3 linked regions of the Drosophila melanogaster genome follow. The protein of the gene in region 1 interacts with the protein of each later gene in a pairwise test. Each region holds a gene or a part of one and is shown in the gene's direction. Other genes may lie near its edges.

Region 1 (8,192 bases):
TTTCCATTAAACGGGTGAGTTTCCTTATAATCAGCGATGCATGTATTGCCACTAAAATCAAGCGATGCAGCGCAATTAAATCGCATAGCAGTGCGCATAAATTGAGGAAATTGTCATTGCCTCGATAATCAGAGGAGAATCACCCGAAGTGGAATCTCTTTCAGTTCTTTGACAGTATCGTCCATCGAATGCGGCAAGAAGCCGTGGCCCAAAACTCAGAAGCGTGGCATTCACATGAGCAGCTCTCCCTGGTCATTGCCACTTTTCTCTGTTGCCGCCACGGAGTTGCGATGGACGCGTGCCTGTTTGTTGGTCAACAACAATCAAAGTGCATTTGCATTGTTTGGCGGCGTGAAAGAAAAAAGTTTGTGCCGACGATGCACCGGCACATTCCATGTGACTCAAAGTCAACGACCCAGTGTTGCAAGAGTTTTGCATTCAACCTAAAGTGTTGAATTTAGGTGCTTTCCCGGTATAGAAAACTTATAAGTAATACTGTTTTATTTTCTTTTAGATAATGGACCGCACGCCATTTGTCCGGGGTAGGATGGTAGAAAAAATAGTTTACGTTTTTACGACAGCGAATAAAAATACGATGTTTCTGATAAAGTTCAAGGACTCGCCCGTGGTGGAAGTGGTTCCAGGTATCGAGGCCAACAGACGCATTCCCCAAATGGTGATCGAATTCTACATGGACCACCTATCCTTGCCCCCGCCCGAATCCCGGAAAGGCAATCCAAGAAAGAGAAAAGCCAGCGAGGATGGATGATTTATAATTAAATTCAATTATGCAGCAAACGAAACACGTTGTTTTTGGTTGCCTATCGTCTGGGCGGAGTTTTCTTTTCGCACCTTACCGCTCGAATCGATCATGAAAATTTACGACGCTGTTGGCCATAAAAGCCAAGCAGGGAAAACTAATTAGGCAGATATCAAATTCGGATTAATGGCTCTCAAAGAACCATAAAATCCTGGAGCGCAACAATTAGGATGCGTATCTCCGGATATGTGAGAGTTGGCAATTGGCTTGGAATGCCGGCAAATATGTTGTGTCAACCATAAAAGCCAACTTGAATGCTTTCGGCACTCTGGCCATGAAAACCAATGCAAAGTCGTTAGTCGTTAAAACCTACAAGAAGTTCTGCCCCTCAAGATGTCGATTCCTGGCGAGATGATGAAAAAGTTTGAGCGGTTGGCCGGGGAGTTTGTTTTATGGCCGCACTTCGGGAATTACTTTCCATTTATAAAATTTTAATCTGGCCCATAAATAAGCATTGCAATTGGACTTCGTGTACTTTTTGCCCGACTAATGGACTGTTCTCAGGCCAAAGTTTTTAATTTAATGCATCATCGTAAAATCCCGCACTTTGTTTGGCGTACAAATATTGTATTGTAGTTTGCCCCACTGGTTTGTATCTGACTTTGATGTCGGCGGATCAATGTGGATCAACTTTTTCATAAGCAGCACACGTAGACAAATTTAATGTAAATTGAATGGAAATTAGAAAAGCGTGTTTTATTGTATATGCTTCAGGTGAATACTTAACCTGAAGGTCATCGAAAAGAGATTTGAGTGGAAACTAGCTTAATGATAGCTACTATTGATTTTTTGATGTGCATTATTTTGGAAAAGTCTGGGCCGCAAGTGAATACGACGGCCTAATCCATTTGGCGGGCCTTTTTCAATTAAAATAAATTAAACGCAAATGTCAAAACTGCTTTCGGGGAATCCCCCGCCGCCGACCGTCGCTCTGTCACAATTTGGGCAGCTTTGGGGCTTTGACAGGTCCGCGGGACAGATGATGAACTACAAATTGGACGGCGGTGGTTGGGTGGCTCACTGAGATCGGTGGCTTGGTGGGTGGTGGGTATGATGCCCCAGTCATGGGAAAGTTTTGCGTCATTTTGGGAGCAGGCAAGTCTGGTTGGTTGGGCGCCTTAAGCAAGCTTAAAAGTTGCTGGCAACAAAGTTGGTGGGCTGAGTTGGCGAACAATAAGCAGTAAAACAACGGATTTGAAGGATTTTGAAACAATAATGCTAAGCGGCAAAAGTAAATAAAACGAAAGTGAAATAAAATATTCGCCGGCGAAAGTCCCTAAAACGCTTTTTGCTTACGTGCGCCTTAGTTGAATTTTATTTTAACAATTCTCGGCGGAGTTTCGTTTTTGTAATTCGAGAGCTTAAAAAGAAACTCTTTGAAAAGATTCGGGGAATATTCCTAAGCTTGTCAACAAGGTGGTTTATTTTTTATTACTCAGCAAAGTTGCCTAAGTGGATTGAGAGCAAAGTTATTCAATGTTTAGTGTCTATTAAGCAACTCGCTCATCTTGCATAGTTCATCTATTGTATAATAAGGCTCATGTGATTTCAAATTGTAAATAATTAAGAACTATGCACCGAATAAAAGGCTATTATTTTGGCTCTCAACTAAATCCGATGCCACAAAATCGTGCTCTTGGTCCAGCGCTGCAACGATTCGCAGACGGGAAGCTCAAGTTTGGCCTAATCTCTTATTCGCTCTTGACTTGGCGTCATTTTAGTCATTAAAACAGGTTCAGACTGAGTAATCTGCCAGCCACTTCAGGCCAAAAGCGAAGGGAATGGCCAGATTCTTCCACTACGCTGCCTTAGTTAGTTGCCCTCTAATAAACTGGCAGCGGAAATTTTTAACAAGTTGTTGCCAGTGCACAAAACTGGGCTGTAATTAACGCAGGACAGATGCCGCGCAGGGCAGGGAGGGGGAAATGGGGATTCGGGATGCAGGATGATGGTGGCCAGGAGGAGCTGGTGGAGTAGCATCGTCTGGGTTAGACGAGATTTTGCATATCAGATTGCTGCCCCGGCTCCAGTTTGTCCCTGCCCTGTGATTTAATAATCAGAGCTGGCTGTCAAAACTATCCAGCAACTGCAGCGCTGCGAAAGAATTGTCATATTTGTTGATAAGCTGAATACCCTACAGCAATCTAAAGTTTATATAATAAATATATACAAAATATACCGACAAACCTTAAGTATCCAATTGGATACTTAAATAATACTTAATACTAATACTTAGACTTAACATTTAGATAGTCCAGTAAACTATTATGCTTCGTGACCAATAAAATAACAGTGAGTGGTTTCATGTACTCATAGTTAGGGTATGTTTGGATGAAGGGCTTAGCCAGCTCGTTTCTTTTGCCTCGATTTTTCCTTTCCAGCCCGCCTTTCTCCGAATTGCTTCCGCCCCCTTAGTTTTCCATTCGAAGGGCGGGGGGAATGCAGGCTGCAATGGAAAGCGCGTGCAAAAATGAAATGTGCCAATGTGGCGGATGGGAGATGCGGAATGGGGAATGGGAAATGGAATTCGGTGGTTTGGGGAATGCGGAGGCCAAGTCCTCGGCAATTTGCATAAATTTAGATCAGTGACACATGGCGTCCACTAATGGAGGCAGTGGGAGCAGCCGGAGTGACTGCGACTGCCACTGGGATGGGACATATATCACGGGGGGTATCAGGCCAGTCGACCCGCGGACTCAAACAGTTTGGCAAACATTGCCAATTGGCCTTTAATTAGCGGCTAATCCGTTTGCCACCGCCTGCGAGTGGGCGTGGTCACTGCGAAAGCACCTTCTATGCCATTCCCCACTCGTTTTGGTCCCAATTTCGCATCTCGGCAGGTGGCGATGATGACCCTGCCCGGCAGTCCAATTAAAATGTCGTGTATCTCTGCGGTGGCGCCACTGCCACTGCCACTGCCACTGCCCACAGAAGGTCCATTGGATTCCACTTGGGTGGCCGGCGAAAGTGCCGCTGCGACCACTCTCACCCACTAACCATGAAATGCCAATGGAATCGGAGACTGCGAATTGCCGCTGCGGATTGTCCAGTGGAGCGAAACTTTCAAGCGGAATGCGATATTTTGATGGGAACAAGATGTCCAGCTTTCTGATCTTGTGATCTTGTTTTGATTAAAGTACATTTTTGATACACTTGTAAGATGCCTTAGAGACTTAACTCCACAATCATTCGAGCTCGTTTAGTGTGCTCATTTACACATTACACTAAACTATTTATTGGAAATAATAAACTCTTTTTGAACACATAATGGCTCTGGAAGCGATTTGCGGCATGAATAAAATGCCTTTTATGCGGCGCTTCGATGACTTGCAGTCCGAATGGCAGAAGGAGCAGCTTCGCGAGGCAACCAGTAATTTTGAGAATCCCTACGAACTGATGGCGCCTCCCTTCGAAAGAGTTAGTATAGGTTTCATAATCCAAAAGATCCATCTAAGATTGAAACTCTTCTCAAGCCCGCTGAAAATCTGCCCAAGATCCTGTCGCACTGTGGCATTCGCATGGATTTCGATCACGGCACCACCACTCTGGGTTTCAAGTATCGCGGAGGAGTGATTCTGTGTGCTGATTCTAGGGCCACCTCTGGCCAGTATATTGGATCCCAGACGATGAGGAAAATAGTCGAGCTGAACGACTATATGCTGGGCACATTGGCCGGCGGAGCCGCCGATTGCGTCTACTGGGATCGGGTTTTGGCTAAGGAGTGTCGCCTGCACCAGCTGCGCTATCGGAAACGCATGACCGTGGACACGGCTGCCCGGATCATCTGCAACATATCCACGGAGTACAAGGGCATGGGTCTGGTGATGGGCATGATGCTGGCCGGCTTCGACGACGAGGGACCCAAGCTGATTTACGTGGACTCGGAGGGCATGAGATCCCATGGTCAAGTCTTCTCCGTGGGCAGCGGTTCTCCATATGCGCTCGGCGTATTGGACACTGGGTACCGCTATGATCTCTCCGATCAGGAGGCCTATGACCTGGCCAGGCGAGCGATTTACCATGCGACCAGTAAGGATGCCTATTCTGGTGGAATCGTGCGTCTCTACCACATTCATTCGGAGGGCTGGCGAAATATCTGCAATACGGACTGCTCCGATCTCCATGACTCGTATTGCGCATCTGGGTGTCCGGGGAACGAGAAGGATGTAGGAAACGTAGGCGATCCCGACAATGATAAGCCCTGTTCCAGTGGCTGGACGAAGAAGAATATCACAGCAGACAATTTGCAGACTAAGCTGGCAACGGTATGAAAATTTGGAAATTATTGGAGCAACATTAGCAAAAATTTCTGTGGAAGTAAAACTTCTGTCGTGCAAAACGTATAAAGTGTTAGTGTTTATGGTAATGGGAATTTGTGGCAGTGAAGAAGTCCGGAATTTATCGTGAGAATAGTTTTCCGAACCGTATGCTGGATTGTTCTATCTAATCCTCTTCAGTTCTAAAAGCACACATACAGATACATTTCAAAGTTTTAGCCACTAATAATGAAAACAAGAGCTGCATACATACAAATGCCTTTCGCCCCGCACTCGCCACACTTTAAAAGCTGTGCTTCTATCTAATTTTTTTCACTCCTCAAACTCCCCTCTCTTCCATCCTCCACTGCGGAAAATATACGAGCAACTTTCGCTCGCTAAACGAACTTTTCCTATAAATCAAAATAATAACTTCTAAGCTCGCAATGACTTTCCCCAAATGGGCGTGCCGCACACAAAATACGGCCAACGAAATGTTCGCCGAAATGTTGCACTCCGTGTCTTTGGGTTGTCATCAACAAATGTTGCAGATGCCACTGCCTGGAGACTCCGTCCGGGGGATCTGCTCCTCACTGCCCATCCCCTCCCCCTCCCCCGCCGGAAAAGCGCAACCGCAGACATTAGCAGGCGTAGGTCATTCTCTCCCAAACGCCCCACTGGGTGGTGACCCTCATCCTCATCTTTATCCCCATTATCGTCCTCATCCTCATCGGGATCTTCCTCCTCCTCGTTGCACGACTGTTAAGGCGCTCTGAGCATGCGATAAATTTAATAAATTACAAACCAAATCCGCAAATTTGTTGAATTCCAAAAGAAGAGGAAAGAGCACCAAATGACTACACGGAGGAAATACGAATATTAAATATATTATTAAGCAAATATATCAAATGCACAAAATGATGTGCAAGTAGACATAACTCTCAAGAACGGTATTTTTGTAAGATATATAATTTGTGCTATGCACTATAACTTTTCTCTCAGTGCTTAAGGAGTTGGTGGTGGCAGCATTTGCACGGCGTTTTGGGCACATGTGAGTTGCAGAACGTGTGGTGAAACAGCTGGATTGTGGGGGGGCTGGAAGGGAGGCGGAGCAACATCGGGCCAAAAGGCGTTTTGTGGCAAAAAGTTTTACTGTAAATTGCTTTTAATCTAATGAACGTCGCCAGCAGGAGCTGCAAAACTGGGGGGGAATGGAGACAACTTGCCAGCCCCCAAGTCGTCCTCGAGAGTCATTTTTCCTCTGTGGTGTCATTAGAAAATTACTTAAAGCCAAAGCCGTGTGGCCCAAGTTCGGAAAATCCTCATTGCGGGTAAGTGGAGCAAAAGTGGCGGAAAAAATGTTGCAACCCGGGTTAATGGGTCAAAACTATTTTCCGGCAGCACTAGATTTGTGTACTTACTTCCATGGTGGCAAGAAGTGGCCACGCACAAATTTTCCAAACGCGTTGAACAACAAAACGTAGAAGTGTATTAAATTTCTAATATTTTAAAATGCCAAAGGTTTTACTCTTTAAAGAGTGGACTTAAAATTAAAATTTTCAGTTTAACTACCTGGCTGCAATCTCTACTGAAAATCGCTGTGCGAAATATTAGCATACAATAATGAAGTGGTTGTTTTCAAAATAACGCAAACTAATTGATAGTATCGATTTTCCCAAATTAGCTGGTTTCCTTCTCCATTACAAAATTCGCCCCAGCCTTCAGCTAATATGGCATAAAAAGCTTGTCGAAAAAAAAAAACGCAGCAACCATAATTTAAATTAATTTGCAAACAACAAGAGCGGCAGCAACAACAAGCTGCAACACCTGCGATGTTGCTGCTGCGCGTTGTTGCTGCTGCAGTTGTTGCGTTGTTGCTGCTGCTGCTGCCATTCCACTTTTGTCAACGAGCTCAAATTCAATGAAATTTCACACTTTGTCGTTAAAAGCGCGCCGCTTGCAAGAGGTGGAAAGTCCGGAGGGGGGCGTTAACTGTCAGGCATAAGGATGCAAATATGCAAATGGATTTTGCTACGGAGCGGCGTAGGAGGAGCAGGGGGAGGAGGAGGTGCATCCGAAGACGGCGGAGATCGTAAGAGTCTGCCAGAGTGTTTGACAAGCAAGCGTGACTGCTCGCTGGGCGGAGACTGGCGGAGTGGGCAGGGATGTTGCCTGCCGGTGATGATGATGTTGCCCCTGTCACCGGCCGAAGCTGCAGCAGCAACACTTGGCCAACAGCTACACACACACACACATAGATGGCGGCTCGGGAGACAGCGGATGTGGCAGCGATGCCTCGTTTGGCAGTTTCATTAACCGACTGCGGAGGGGCAGCAGGCGATGGGTGGCTACACGACACCAGGCCAACTGCAACTGCAACAAGAACAGCAGCAGCAGAAGCAGCAGCAGCAAATGCAAATGCAAATGCAACATCATCGCCCATATTAGGAGCAGCAGCTACAACAAAATCAGTGCACAGCGAAAAACTGAAGGGGATATATATATAAATATTTAAGCAATATTTAATAGTGCCCAGAAATGGAGGGGGTTTTGATGATTCATATGGTTCAGAGATTGATTGTCATGGTATCGATGTAAGAAAGTACCTATTCATAAGAAATATTCTAATAGATTTTCCTTGTACAAGTTGACAAGGTATTTCTTGCAGTGCAACAGCAGCAACATCTTCTCCGCCAGCAGCGTCAAATGCACTTCCAATTTATCAGCTCTGGGCTGCCAGTTTTCCTTGCCTTCAGGTACCCCTAAGCCCCCCTGAGCCACCTAAATCGCCACCGAATCCCCCCCTCTGCTGAGCATGCTGCTTGTGCAACATGAGGCAACATCAAAGTGCAGATGTTGTTGATGCGCCGCTGCTGCTGCTGCTGCAGTTGTCGCAGTTGGTGTTGCCGCTGCGGCAAAGCGATGTTGCAGCTAGATGGTGCCGTTGTGTGTTCTCCATTATTGCTACTTTGGCGGCAACTGCACATTAGTCGCATATCTGTTGAAATTCACAGCAATTAGTTGGCGGCCCAGTGAAAAAAGCAATTATGGAAATCAGCTCTCAAAGCGAGTTAATTATGGGTATTGAAAATGGGTCCAATTATTGTACGTCAGTG
Region 2 (5,538 bases), on another chromosome or scaffold:
ACCAAACCAACCAAAATGAATACGTCGCATTCGTGTTTAATTTTTTTCACTCATTTAATGAATTATTAAATGCAACATGCATAATTCCCGTTTCCGCGCTTAAGCGTGGACAATGCGAAATGGAAAAGCCCACGTCAAAGCCCCTACCTAAAGGACCTCGTCGGGAAATCCTTCGAATGGCACGTAGGCAAATATCCCTCTCCCCACACGCGTCCCATTCCCATGCATTGGAATGCAAATATTTTCCACTATAATTGAGGCGCGACAAATGCGAATTGTTAGCGAATGTGATTGCGTTGCCTTAGTCGATTTTCGATGGGTCGTTGGAGGAGGAGTTCCCTCAAAAGAGGTAAAACAACACGTATTTAATGCACATGCAATTCAATCATTCAATTTAGCATGCCAACAAGAATGATGTGTTCAATTTAACCAAACACCAACGAGGACATGGAGTTTAATCAAAATGGTTTTTAAATTGATAAAAGTAAAAAAAACGACCCATAATTGCAGTGGTTCTTCAAAAAATTAATGCATGCACGTAAAACAATTACAGCGCAGTAAATTGCAACTGCAGACAGCAGCAGCAGCGAAATCGAACAATTGTCGCACATTAACCACAGATGCGTTTGGATCGTCAGGGATGGGCAGGAATTATAAGTGGGTGGTATGGGTGGTGTCGACTAAGTGATTGCATTCAGTGGGCCACGGATGAATGCAAATTTCGGTTCACTTGTTTCACATCGATAAGGAAATTTTCTGGTTAATATATCCTCCTTCTTCTGCATCATAATCCTATTATTCGTTAAGTAAGATCGTGCATTTAATGTGTGCGAAAGAAAAGCCATTAACGTTGACCATTAAACGTTATATATTTTCCTCATCAGTAATATGACCAACTTTTGTGTGTTAACACAAACATCCCGGATGTTTGGTTAAATGGCCCATCACAAAGTTTGAATATTCCATTCTCTTAATAGAGAACTTTTTTTAATGGAGTCATTACGTCCACTTTGCTAGAAGCTTCTTTTCTGAACTATACGAGTAGCATTACTATCATTACTAGCATGACATAATTTCGAAAAATCCCATTACTTTACCAAATTATAAAATTGCTCACGACATTCGATGACCATAGCATTTCTGTGAAATTTATCGCATTAATAACTACGATGAAAGGGACTCTCATTCCAGATACTTAAAACCACTCAAGTGGAAAACAGCCACAAAAAATATCTTGTACAAGTTGATATAAAAGTGTTTATGGCGTAGGTCAATGATGAGATTAAATTCTGAATATAAAATGAGAATAATGTTATTATTTTTGTGTAATCGCATTTTACGTTTTTACGTTATTTTAAAGTACACTATAGAATATTGGATGATTATTAAATATTCATGATTTCATCAAGTTTTCTTTATATTACAAAACATTTGGACCAAAAACTTTTGCAGATTATTATTCGCACCAGTTATCATTTTTAAAAGCATATTCACAGAAAATATGTAACCCCTTTAATGATCAGAAGCTTAAAGGTCACGATCTAGTCTGACATTTTCACACCAACATTGCCAAAACATTCACCAGCCCGAGGCACTTTTCCCGGAATTTTCTTGTTAGCTTCAAGCTTTGCCTTTTATTGCCAGCAATTCTATTGTCTTTTATGTCAACTCACCAGACACAAGAGTTGATGAATTTTGTCGCTTCGCAGGATGGGCGACTTTAGAAGGCACTCTCGCACAGACACAGGCACACTCACACTCACGCAGCAATCGAGCCTGAATGTGTTTGTTGTTGTTGTGTTGTATTGATGTACGTATTGGTGTGTTTATTTCGATGCGCGCCAAAAAGTATGCAATGCGAACTGTGAGTCTTGTGTTGCGGGTCTGCGTTTCGGTTTCCGACTGACGATGGCCTGATGGCTGGTGGCTTGATGTCTGATGGCTGGTAATGTGATTAGTTGGCCCGTCTATCGATGCTAGTGCGCTACTGTGTGCGAGTATATTTTAATTTAATTATGTCGCTCTCGTTTCAATTACGAAAACCGCTCGCAGCGAAGACACGCACTAATAAACAAAGGCCAGCAATAACAGAATAACGAAAAAGTAAGCGACGGCTGGTATCGCTGCCGAGGGAAAACTGAAGGAAAATGTGTCGAATGAGTGGTACCAAGACCAAGACCAACCAGCGAATGTGTTCTGCCTCTCCCTCTCCGCTCTCGCTTTCTCACTCTTTGTCCGGCTATTAGCTGCTCTCTGGCTTTTCCGCTGATGAAAGTGCTGGCAATCGAATGCAACTGCCTCCCACAAGCGACTGAATGCGTTGCATATGCCAAGGCGCACGTTGAGTCCACGAGGAACGTGTGAAAGTGGAACGCGCCAGACTGGAGTAAATTTTGAGTGAGTACAAAGTGCACTTTCGAGTGCCCGGGAACGAGTGGAATTGTGCAACACCTGTGCAAAGGGGATTGTAAATGGGGTGGCCAGCACTATTCTTTCTTTATCGCCGGAAAAACGGGCAGTCGAAATTTTAATTGGGTTTGTCCAACTTACGGCACACAATTCAATTGAACCGCTCCCCCACTCGGGGCTCATTAACCTGGAGGGTTGGAACTATATCGGTGGGACATAAACTCGTTACGATTGCCTTGGTTTTTCGTAGGGTAGTTGCTGTTCTAGAACTTCCCTAGGGTTCATTTTTTTACGCACATGTTGTTTCATTTTCTCCGCTTTTTATGAGTTTCTAAGCTAACATCAATAAACTAAAACGTAGTGGTGGTATTCCAATTTCAATACGTGCTAGCTGTTCTAATTAAAAACGTAAAAATGCTGAAAAGTCAAAGCAACTTTAATATTATAAAGCATGAAGGTAAAATATCAATATAAATTATAGTAATACGGCTGCAATGGGGCTTATAAGGTATATTGGATAGCAATCAATACAATGGTGGATCAATGCATGGGAGCTTCCATTAATGCCGTATCAGAGTTCAACATAATTATAATTTGTGTCCCTCGTGGCACGTTTACATTAGCAGGGCATCTGGGCACCATCAACAGCTGACACAGAAACACTTTTACTGGCTGCACTTTGTAAAATGGATCTCTCGGCGGCATTACCTGAAAGCGCTCCCAAAAGATGCCATTCTCGGTCCGTCTACTGTCATCCGGCATGGAGATGATGACGCAGCTTAAGGGCGGCTGTACACCACCAGCTCCACAGTCAACCTCACCCCGCAATCCCGGCCAGATTTCCCCTGACAATGACTGGCACTCGTTCACGGACTCCGGGGCTGACTTCTCCGCCGCCAGCAGGTGTTTCCATTAACATCGGGACAATAAAGGCAGCGCACGCACTGCAATATGCAACAGTTGCAGACACGCAGGAAAAGCGTTGGAAATGGGAAATATGGCTGGCTGTGGGTGGTAGGTGGTGGGTGTTGGGTGCTTAAACGCACATTTGTAAGTAGTTGTGTAATCTATCCATGAACGTCGCTTCCGCTTTGCATTTTATATGCTCAACGCATCGTTTGGCCGGCGCAAATTGAGTTTCGTTGTCGTTGCTGCTGCTGAAATATCTGCTCTCGGATGGATAGATGGATGGATGGATAGATAGATGTCTGGATGAATGCCTCGGATATATCCCTTTTCCCCACAGCCATCGATTGGTAATGACGTTTGGTAGAGCCCACCCACCTTTAGGTTCATCCACTTTGTGGCTTAAGGCAAGAACGAGCATCAAGCCAATTAAAACTTCTAGCCCATCAACTTAATTAAGAAAAGGCCGAAATTATGCGACTATCATAAAAGTGCGGTGAACGTACGGTATCAAGAAAGATTTTCCTAATTGGTAAGCCATAAATTGTATTAATAAATTTTATTAGTTATACACCTGCTTAGAACGAATAACCTATGTATTTGCCAGACGTTGTAAACCGTTTTCAACGCTTTAATATGCTTTTAGATGCGGATTGTTATTTCATTATACAGATGTTAACATCCAGAAACAGTCCGTTTTAAGGATTGGGACTAGCAGGTCATACATAGTAACATGTTCAAGTATTGTTTTATATGCGTCATTCTAGCCTGGGCTTCTCGTGATGTTCTCGCTAACAAAACGGAAAATCCGCTGCTAATTGATCAAGTGGCTATAAATCAACAACAATGGTTCACATTCATTGCGCTGAAGGAAAGTGAAATGCAACAGAAAATAGTGAGGATCGAAAGATCGATAGAAGAACGATTGATGGCCATGCAAAGCAAGTTGGCATACGCACTGAACGAGCTGCAGACCATAATGGGCAACCAGAGTGTGGAGACTCTCGAGAAACTACGAATCTCGCACAGGATTAATCCGGCGCTTTTCCAGAGAATGGGCACAAGACGCTTCTACATTGAGAAGGAAAACAAACAAAATTGGTTTGGCGCCTCAAACACCTGTCGTCAATTGGGCGGTCACATTGCCACCATCAGGGATGAGCAGGAGTTTAATGAGATCTTCTCAAGAGCGCCGGCCGGCGTCTTTTGGATAGATATGAATGCTATGTTCAAGAACGGCCTTTTTGCATCATCACTCACCGGCAGATCGCCGCCGTTCTTTAAGTGGAAGAAAGAAGAAAGGGGCAATAAGTTCGATTGCGTTAATGTATACAACAAGGAAATGTACAATGAAAATTGTTTCAACACCCATTTGTTCATATGTCAAGCCGAGCAGTGGGATTGATGCGAATGCGAAAATAATAAATTAAGTTATTTTCATTTTGCATCTCGGCAATTTACCGACAGCTTTTAATAAAGTTATGAGCCTACTGTCTTTTTTATTTTACTAGCCCAAAAATGAAGTACATAACTGTTTTCTCAGCCAAGAGGATCATTAAGATTATTGGGTAATGAAAATTAAAATATTTTCCCTTAAGTACAAAACCAGGCCAATCCATATGGGGTTTCCATCAAGTGCCCAGAAAGCGGTGCTTGGTATTTCAAAATGCCTTACACACATGACGTGTCCACGTTCTGTGCAGAAATAAGGGCGGCCAGTGCCACGCCCCTCCACAAGGAAGCCACCCAAATGGTGACAAAAATGCTTTTGATTTGTGGGCCATTCGCACACCCATAGCCACCCACGCTTATTAGAATCCTGCCATTGTGGCAGCCAAAGTGCAACTAGCAGAGACAGATAGCAAACATCCAACAATGTGGAGCAGAGCGCAATTTATGACCAGGGGCGAGATTTCGAAACGGACTAATAGGATTGCGGCTCCAATTTTTGGGGCTTTTCATTTCAGATACCTCCGCACATACGATGCAAAATTATATCTCGAGTTTTCACTTACGTTATTATACGCTCTAGTGTGCAAGTCTTTAGTTTTTCCAATTATTACTATTCAATAATACTAATATACCAATATTGTATTTTGTTATAATAATAAGATGCTATTACCGTTACATTATTAACAAATGGGTAGTTGGAATTCCCCTTTCAAAAATAAAGATATAAAAAAAATCGATCTCTATGTTGTAGGGAACTAGTTCATTGAGATT
Region 3 (6,185 bases), on another chromosome or scaffold:
ATTAGTTTGGGAAACCACTCCAAGTTCTCTAGCTTTGGTAATTAAATCGAACTGAATCACTAACAAAAAAAAAAGGGAGGGAGAACATGCAATGGTGGGCCAGCGAGCAGCTCCATGGCCTCATTCCTTGATCTCGGGAATCTTGAAGCCCGAAGAGCGCATCTCGCGCAGCATGCACATAGCGATCCCGTGGGCTGCCTCGCACCTGAAAAAAAACCAAAAACAAATAAGATCCTTTTCAGAAATACTTTAAAAATATTTCAAACAATTTTTAAAGCTTTTGGGAGCACAGTTGCCTGGCCACCTATAAAAGGTATTCCAAAATATTGAAACTCTCTTCCTGAGAAGAAGTGTACGAAAAGGTTCTTCAAAACACACGGCAACTTAAACTCCTGGCACTTATCTTTTCTTTCGAATACAGCAGAATATTTTCGAAATGCAGCAAGACTGAAAAATTCGCCTTAGAACCGTTTCAAGTTTTTGCTTTGAAGTAAATTCACTCCGCATCTGGAATACACTTCGCTGGACTAACAATTACTAGACACTAGGGTCCTCCATTGCCCCACCACACTCACTTGTCCTGCTCGGCCTTTAGCTCCTCGTTGCAGGTCTTGACGATGCGCCTGCCGTCGTCCTCGCGATCCGGGAACATCATGTTGATCATATCGACCGTCTTGTCCTCGTTATACTGCAACTGATCCTCGGGCATCAGCTCGAACTGCTCCAGCATGCAGTGGCGGAAGCACTTGGTCTCGTGCTTGGCGTCCTCCTTGTTCAGCACCATCTCGACGATGTTCTCTGCGGATATGGTATGTTATGGAATGGTATGGTAGGATGGGTGAGTAACCCAACGGTGCACTTACCCCTCGACGGCTTTGGCGTGCAGGCGTCGCCAAAGGGCTCGATCAGCTCCACCACCTCGTCCACGGTCATGGACCCCTCCTCCTCGTCCGCCGTCGCCGATCCCATCAGCACGGCGGCGCAGGCCACTGCTAGCAGAAGGTTCGTCATCTTCAACGTCGTCGTCATTCGGCTGCACTGCATCATTTTTGCTCTTCTTGTGAATAGTGGACGGACAGCAATCGGCGCCGGGCAATTTATACCCGCCGCAATCGTGTCCAGCACATCCGGTACAAGCAAATCGCCTCGGATGTAGATCAACCGGCGATAGCCATGACATTGCTGGGGCGGATCATGCAAGCCCCACCACAACCACAGCCAACCACCCATTCGTCCATCCATCGCAGCCCAGTTAAAATACAGCACAGATGACGGGGCCCTCCGGCTAGCTTTTATTGATCATCTGGTCAGGGGATTGGGCTTGGGTGTGGGTTTAGGATTGCGGACAAGAGATATACATATCTACTTTATTTGCTGCGGAGTCACCTGTTCCGAATGCCAAAGTGTGACGCATCTGGTATCGCATTGGCAGCCTCGGATGGAAAGCCTAGGGAAACACGAATACCTTGATGTTGTTCTTCAGGCAGCTGAGCAGGGCGTGGGCGGGATCGCAGTTGGGGGCGTTCTTCAGGCCGACGGTGGAGTCCTTGCACAGATTGATGCCCTTGCGGTACTCGTCCTTGTAGCTGTCCGGCAGCATGATGTCCATCTGCTTGAGGGTCGACTCCAGCTGGAACTTTCCCTTCTTGATCTAAGCAGGAGCAGAGCGGAAAGAAGGAGCTGATAATGTAACCAACACAGCCGATGGAAACTTCTTAATACGTACTGCCTGCATCATTTCCAGGATGCAATTGATGTAGCAGTTGGTGTCCTTGCTATTGGGTATGTCACCGTTGCGAATGTTGTCGGCCACCTCGACGCTGACCTTCGGATACTTGGGCAGGCAGACGTCGCGCATCAGCTTTCCGGCAGACCACATCTGCTCCTCCGTCACCTGCAAGTGGACAGTATCCATGAGGCATCCTCCGGCAGAGAGAAGAGCTTAAGGACCTACCCCTGCCTCCGACTGGGGGATTGGTCCCAGGGATATGGCGACGCAGACCAGCAGCAGATGGAACTTCATTTCCGAGACGATTTGGCGGATTCCAGACTCCAGACCCATCGGCGACTCCTTTTATACACGGCCCCCGACATGCAAATGACTTCATATTGGTTCGATCGAACCGCTAAGTGGGTGTGGGAATTATGGGTTAGCGCCAATCGCCGCCCCCACTGCCCATTTCCATATCCAAATGGGCGGGCGGTGGGTGGTGTTCCTGGGGCGGATTACTTTCTGGCCGGGCTATAATCTTGCCACGTTAATTGACAGTGTACACAGGTATGTGGTCACCGTGCGAGGTGGCATGCGAGGCGCGATTCTGGCCGAGATGCGTTGACAATCCCATTGCTGGGCCGCATTTCCCCAGTGTTCATCAGCGATCATGCGAATGCAAATAAGGTTTCAATCTGAGATCTAACGGGGCGGTTCCAAAATCGGTTCCAGAGTTAGGGTCGCATGGATACCGCGCATCCAGTTTTCCGTTTTGAGGTCAAACAATGTAAAGATAATCACAATCGGTAATAATGTTTGGTATATATCTTAAAAAATTATAAAATAAAATCTATTTTTACAAATAGTTTGCTATTTACATATACTCCTTCAAGATGCTGATTTTAAGATATACTATCTGGAAAAAAAAGTTTTTATATTTTGATAGTCCACCAGATACCACCAGATATTTTGCTACCACCAGATATTTTGCATACCAGATGGTTGCTGTTTTTTTGTTTTTTTTCTGGAGACTCACATAACAAGTGGCCATTTTTTTCCAATATATTTAAAAATTTAATTACAAGGCAGGCATTTTAAATATAAGCCTTGTAACCCCTTAAGTAAGTCCATTACACTCACTTTAACCACCTATTACCTTGTATGCAAATGAGTAGTTCGGTTTGATTAGCATTCAAATTAGTTGCAAGTTGGCATTTATTTGGCGAAATGTATTTCATTTGTGCATTTAGTACAACTGATGACGTTGAAATAAGTAGTATTGCGTGTGGCATGAGCCCAAATCGCTGATAAAGCTAACTGCAATAAATAATAAATGTAAATTATAATATCACAAAAGGCTTATGTTTGCATTAGCATAACTGAAGCGTACAGCTAAATAGGCCAGAATGTTTACATGCTAGCTAGGTGATAAAATACATTTGTAGAGGATATATTAGATATATAATGGTCGATCGATATGCGATGTTAATATCAGATTCCAAGACTTTCATACGGACAGACATAGCCATATCGGCTTGGCTAGTGATCCTAATTCCGACCAGGATGGCAAGAAGTTCTGTGTGACATACAATTTTCAACGAATCTAGTAACTGGTTTAAAAATAGTTATAGCTGTAACATGCTTAAAAATTTCATAAAATTGTAAATGGTATTTAGCTCAATGAATTCTGAAGTTGGTTAAAGGTACAATATGAAAATGTCCAAAACTTTCGATTTGCCTCTTGCATATCTCAATTTTCATCACAGTATTTAAGCAGTAATTAATGGGTATCCCATTAGTCGGTACTAGACTTCAGCATTCTCTCTAGTTGGGAAACCCGAGTCGGCTTTGACGACTGTCAGTAACATTCCTTTCATTTCGAACGTTTAAAAGTCACAATCCGAATCCCGGTCTAAAATACAGGTCGAATATCGAATCCAAATTTTAATCTTTTGTTAAAAGCCACGCCAATCCGGTCAACAACGATCCAAAGATGTCCGATCATTTCAACTTCAACGAAGCCTTCAACAGCCAGACCATGCGTGGTCGCGCCAATGTAAGTGATTCAGTACACGGCAGTACACAAGATGCGCCCAAATACGCCACCGAAACCCACAGGTAGCCAAGGCCACCTGGGCCTCGTTGGGACTCGTCTACGTCCTGGTCAAGATGCACCGCCGCAACACGAAGCGGCGCGAGACCAAGCTCTACTGCAAGGGCTGCCAGCAGGCCATGCTCCATGGCTAGGGCGCCGATGCTGCCAAATCATTGAAGTCATGGCTCCCCACCGCTCCGACCCATTCGACCCGTCAGCAATCCATAACTATTTATAATCAGCACCCCCTTTCCGGTCCTCGATGCCACAGTTAAAGGCTTGGGGACCAAACTCATGTACCACCTCGTTGAGTCAATAAAAATCGAATCCTGCCAATGAATCGACTTTGTAATCTAGTTGGCCGAGCTTTGCACTTCGCTGCTTGTCATTAGGTTCTCGCTCGGAGCTATAGGCAGAACACACTCAGCTCTCACCCGGACCCGACCCCAAATCCAGATCTCCAGATCTCCAGATCCAGTCCAGTAGCAATGGCCGACGGCTTTAAGAAGTACTTCAATGGGACAACCATCAATGGACGCGCTAACGTAAGAGTGATTCTATTGAACGCACACAAGATAAAATGAACCATCGCTTTGGAGCTGTTGATGGACACAAAATATTATTTTCAGCTCCAAATTGAAATTCAAAATTATTAATTTAACATTTTTTTACATACATTTTTTACAAATACATATACTATGACCCATTTCGCAGGTGGCAAAGGCCACATACGCCACGTTGGCCCTGTTGTTCATCGTGTACAAGCTGCGCCGCGGATCCGGCAAGACCGGCGAGTTGGCCAGCGGCAAGTGCAGCTGCGAATCGGACCACGAGTCGTCCCTCAATGGCGACATTGGCGTCTACGGCGCGGATCCCGACTGCTCCGTTTGCCGGGAGCGATCGGAGCGGGCCATGACCGAGTTCGATCGCGAGCAGCAGCGCCGGGCGGCGGGCGAGGATGACAATGGTTGTCGCGACGATCCGCCGCCGCCACCACCTCCGCCCACATCGGGAGGATCAGGCTCTGCTCCGCGGCGCAAGTGTCCCTGCGAGGAGCCGCAGCGTCGGGCGGAGGGAGCCGTGAAGCATAGCAGCCACAGCAGCTGGGCGCGAGGCCAGCAGATTCAGCCGCCAAACCAGTACCAACAGTATAAACAGCCCGAGGCGGAGCAAGTGCGTCCGGCTAGCCAAGTGATGGGTCAGGTGCACGACGCCTTCTACAGGGTGCTGCGAGGAGTCGTGGGAGCCGTTTTGGGCAATGCGGCGGTCAACACCAGCGGCACCGCTTCCGATTCCCCAGCTCAGGCAGCCGCAGTGGAAGTCTCGCGGGATGAGCTGGACGAGGATGAACGTGACGACGGCCAGGACGATGAGACGCCGTTAAAGCGCCGCACGGCACCGCGCTCTTGCGTGCCCACAGGCAGCCAAGAGAACGCCTCGGGACAGCCGGAGGAACTGGGCCGGGAACAGGCCGACGACCAGCCGCAGGCGGAGGAGCAGGCGGAGTACAGCGCGTTCAGCGATGGCTTCACTTCCGGCCTGTCCTTTACCAGCGATGAAAAGTAGTTGGCTAGGTCTGGGCGTAGGCTTCAAGAGATCTGCTAAATTTTTAGTCTAAAATAAATACGAAGAACTTCTTTATCTCAGCATTATGCTTTAACAATCCATTACTTGGCGCCCCCGGGTGGATCCATTTCTTTCAGTCGTTGCAAGATACTAAATTAAACGGGGGGCAATTGCTTTATAAAGTATTTTATTTAGCTTCCGTTTAGTTCAGATAGAGTTTTCTTTGCGGCATCTAACTTTTAAATAGATCATCATTATAAACGTTTTTAGCCCCTTTGTGTTCTCGGGGTTATCAATATCAATTACGTAGCTTATTAACTGTTTTGGGCGGGGTTCGGACTCGAGATGGATGGGAATGGATTGGATTGGATTCAATTGGGTTGCGTCTAACGTTTAAGCCTTGTGTTTAATTATGAGTGGACTTCAACTAACATTTATATTTAAATTTATATGTATATATAATATAATATGGAAATAACTTTAACGTTTTGCTTTTTGGTTTCATTATGCGATCGACCGATTCTTTCGCTCTCTCGCCGTCTCTCTCTCTCTCTCGCTCTCTCATTCTCTCTCTCCTCATTCTCCCTCGCTTGCCGTCTCTCTCTCTCTCTCGCTCGATTCGTCGTCTTGCTCCGATTCAAGTGCTAATTTAAAATATATGTTTATACGTGTATATATGTGTACGTGTCGCGTGAGTGGGTTTAACTTGAAGGCTGCGTGTGTCCTAGTGGGTGTGGACCGTAAACTGCTGGGAGATTCGCCAGGCTGCCAAGGTCTCCGATGGATCCTTGATCGATTTGTTCGGTAATGCGG

The links. Proteins that work in one complex are often made in the same cells at the same time.
Region 2: the proteins of Prosbeta5R1 (region 1) and lectin-30A interact in a two-hybrid assay, tested with the Drosophila melanogaster proteins (one large-scale study listed by BioGRID).
Region 3: the proteins of Prosbeta5R1 (region 1) and CG15459 interact in a two-hybrid assay, tested with the Drosophila melanogaster proteins (one large-scale study listed by BioGRID).

Annotation. Positions count from the first base shown.
Region 1 is NT_033778.4:23,305,624-23,313,815, reverse strand, and holds Prosbeta5R1 (proteasome beta5 subunit-related 1), read left to right. Parts: upstream 1-3,999; 5' UTR 4,000-4,087; coding exon 4,088-4,237; intron 4,238-4,293; coding exon 4,294-5,091; 3' UTR 5,092-5,162; downstream 5,163-8,192. Other genes in the region: HP1Lcsd (heterochromatin protein 1L chromoshadow domain), read left to right, coding at 518-769.
Region 2 is NT_033779.5:9,253,342-9,258,879, reverse strand, and holds lectin-30A (lectin-30A), read left to right. Parts: upstream 1-4,025; 5' UTR 4,026-4,048; coding exon 4,049-4,720; 3' UTR 4,721-4,804; downstream 4,805-5,538.
Region 3 is NC_004354.4:20,411,607-20,417,791, reverse strand, and holds CG15459 (uncharacterized protein), read left to right. Parts: upstream 1-4,210; 5' UTR 4,211-4,294; coding exon 4,295-4,351; intron 4,352-4,520; coding exon 4,521-5,372; 3' UTR 5,373-5,451; downstream 5,452-6,185. Other genes in the region: Obp19b (Odorant-binding protein 19b), read right to left, coding at 121-205, 576-798, 864-1,047; Obp19a (Odorant-binding protein 19a), read right to left, coding at 1,448-1,651, 1,727-1,894, 1,955-2,023; CG15458 (uncharacterized protein), read left to right, coding at 3,705-3,767, 3,830-3,958.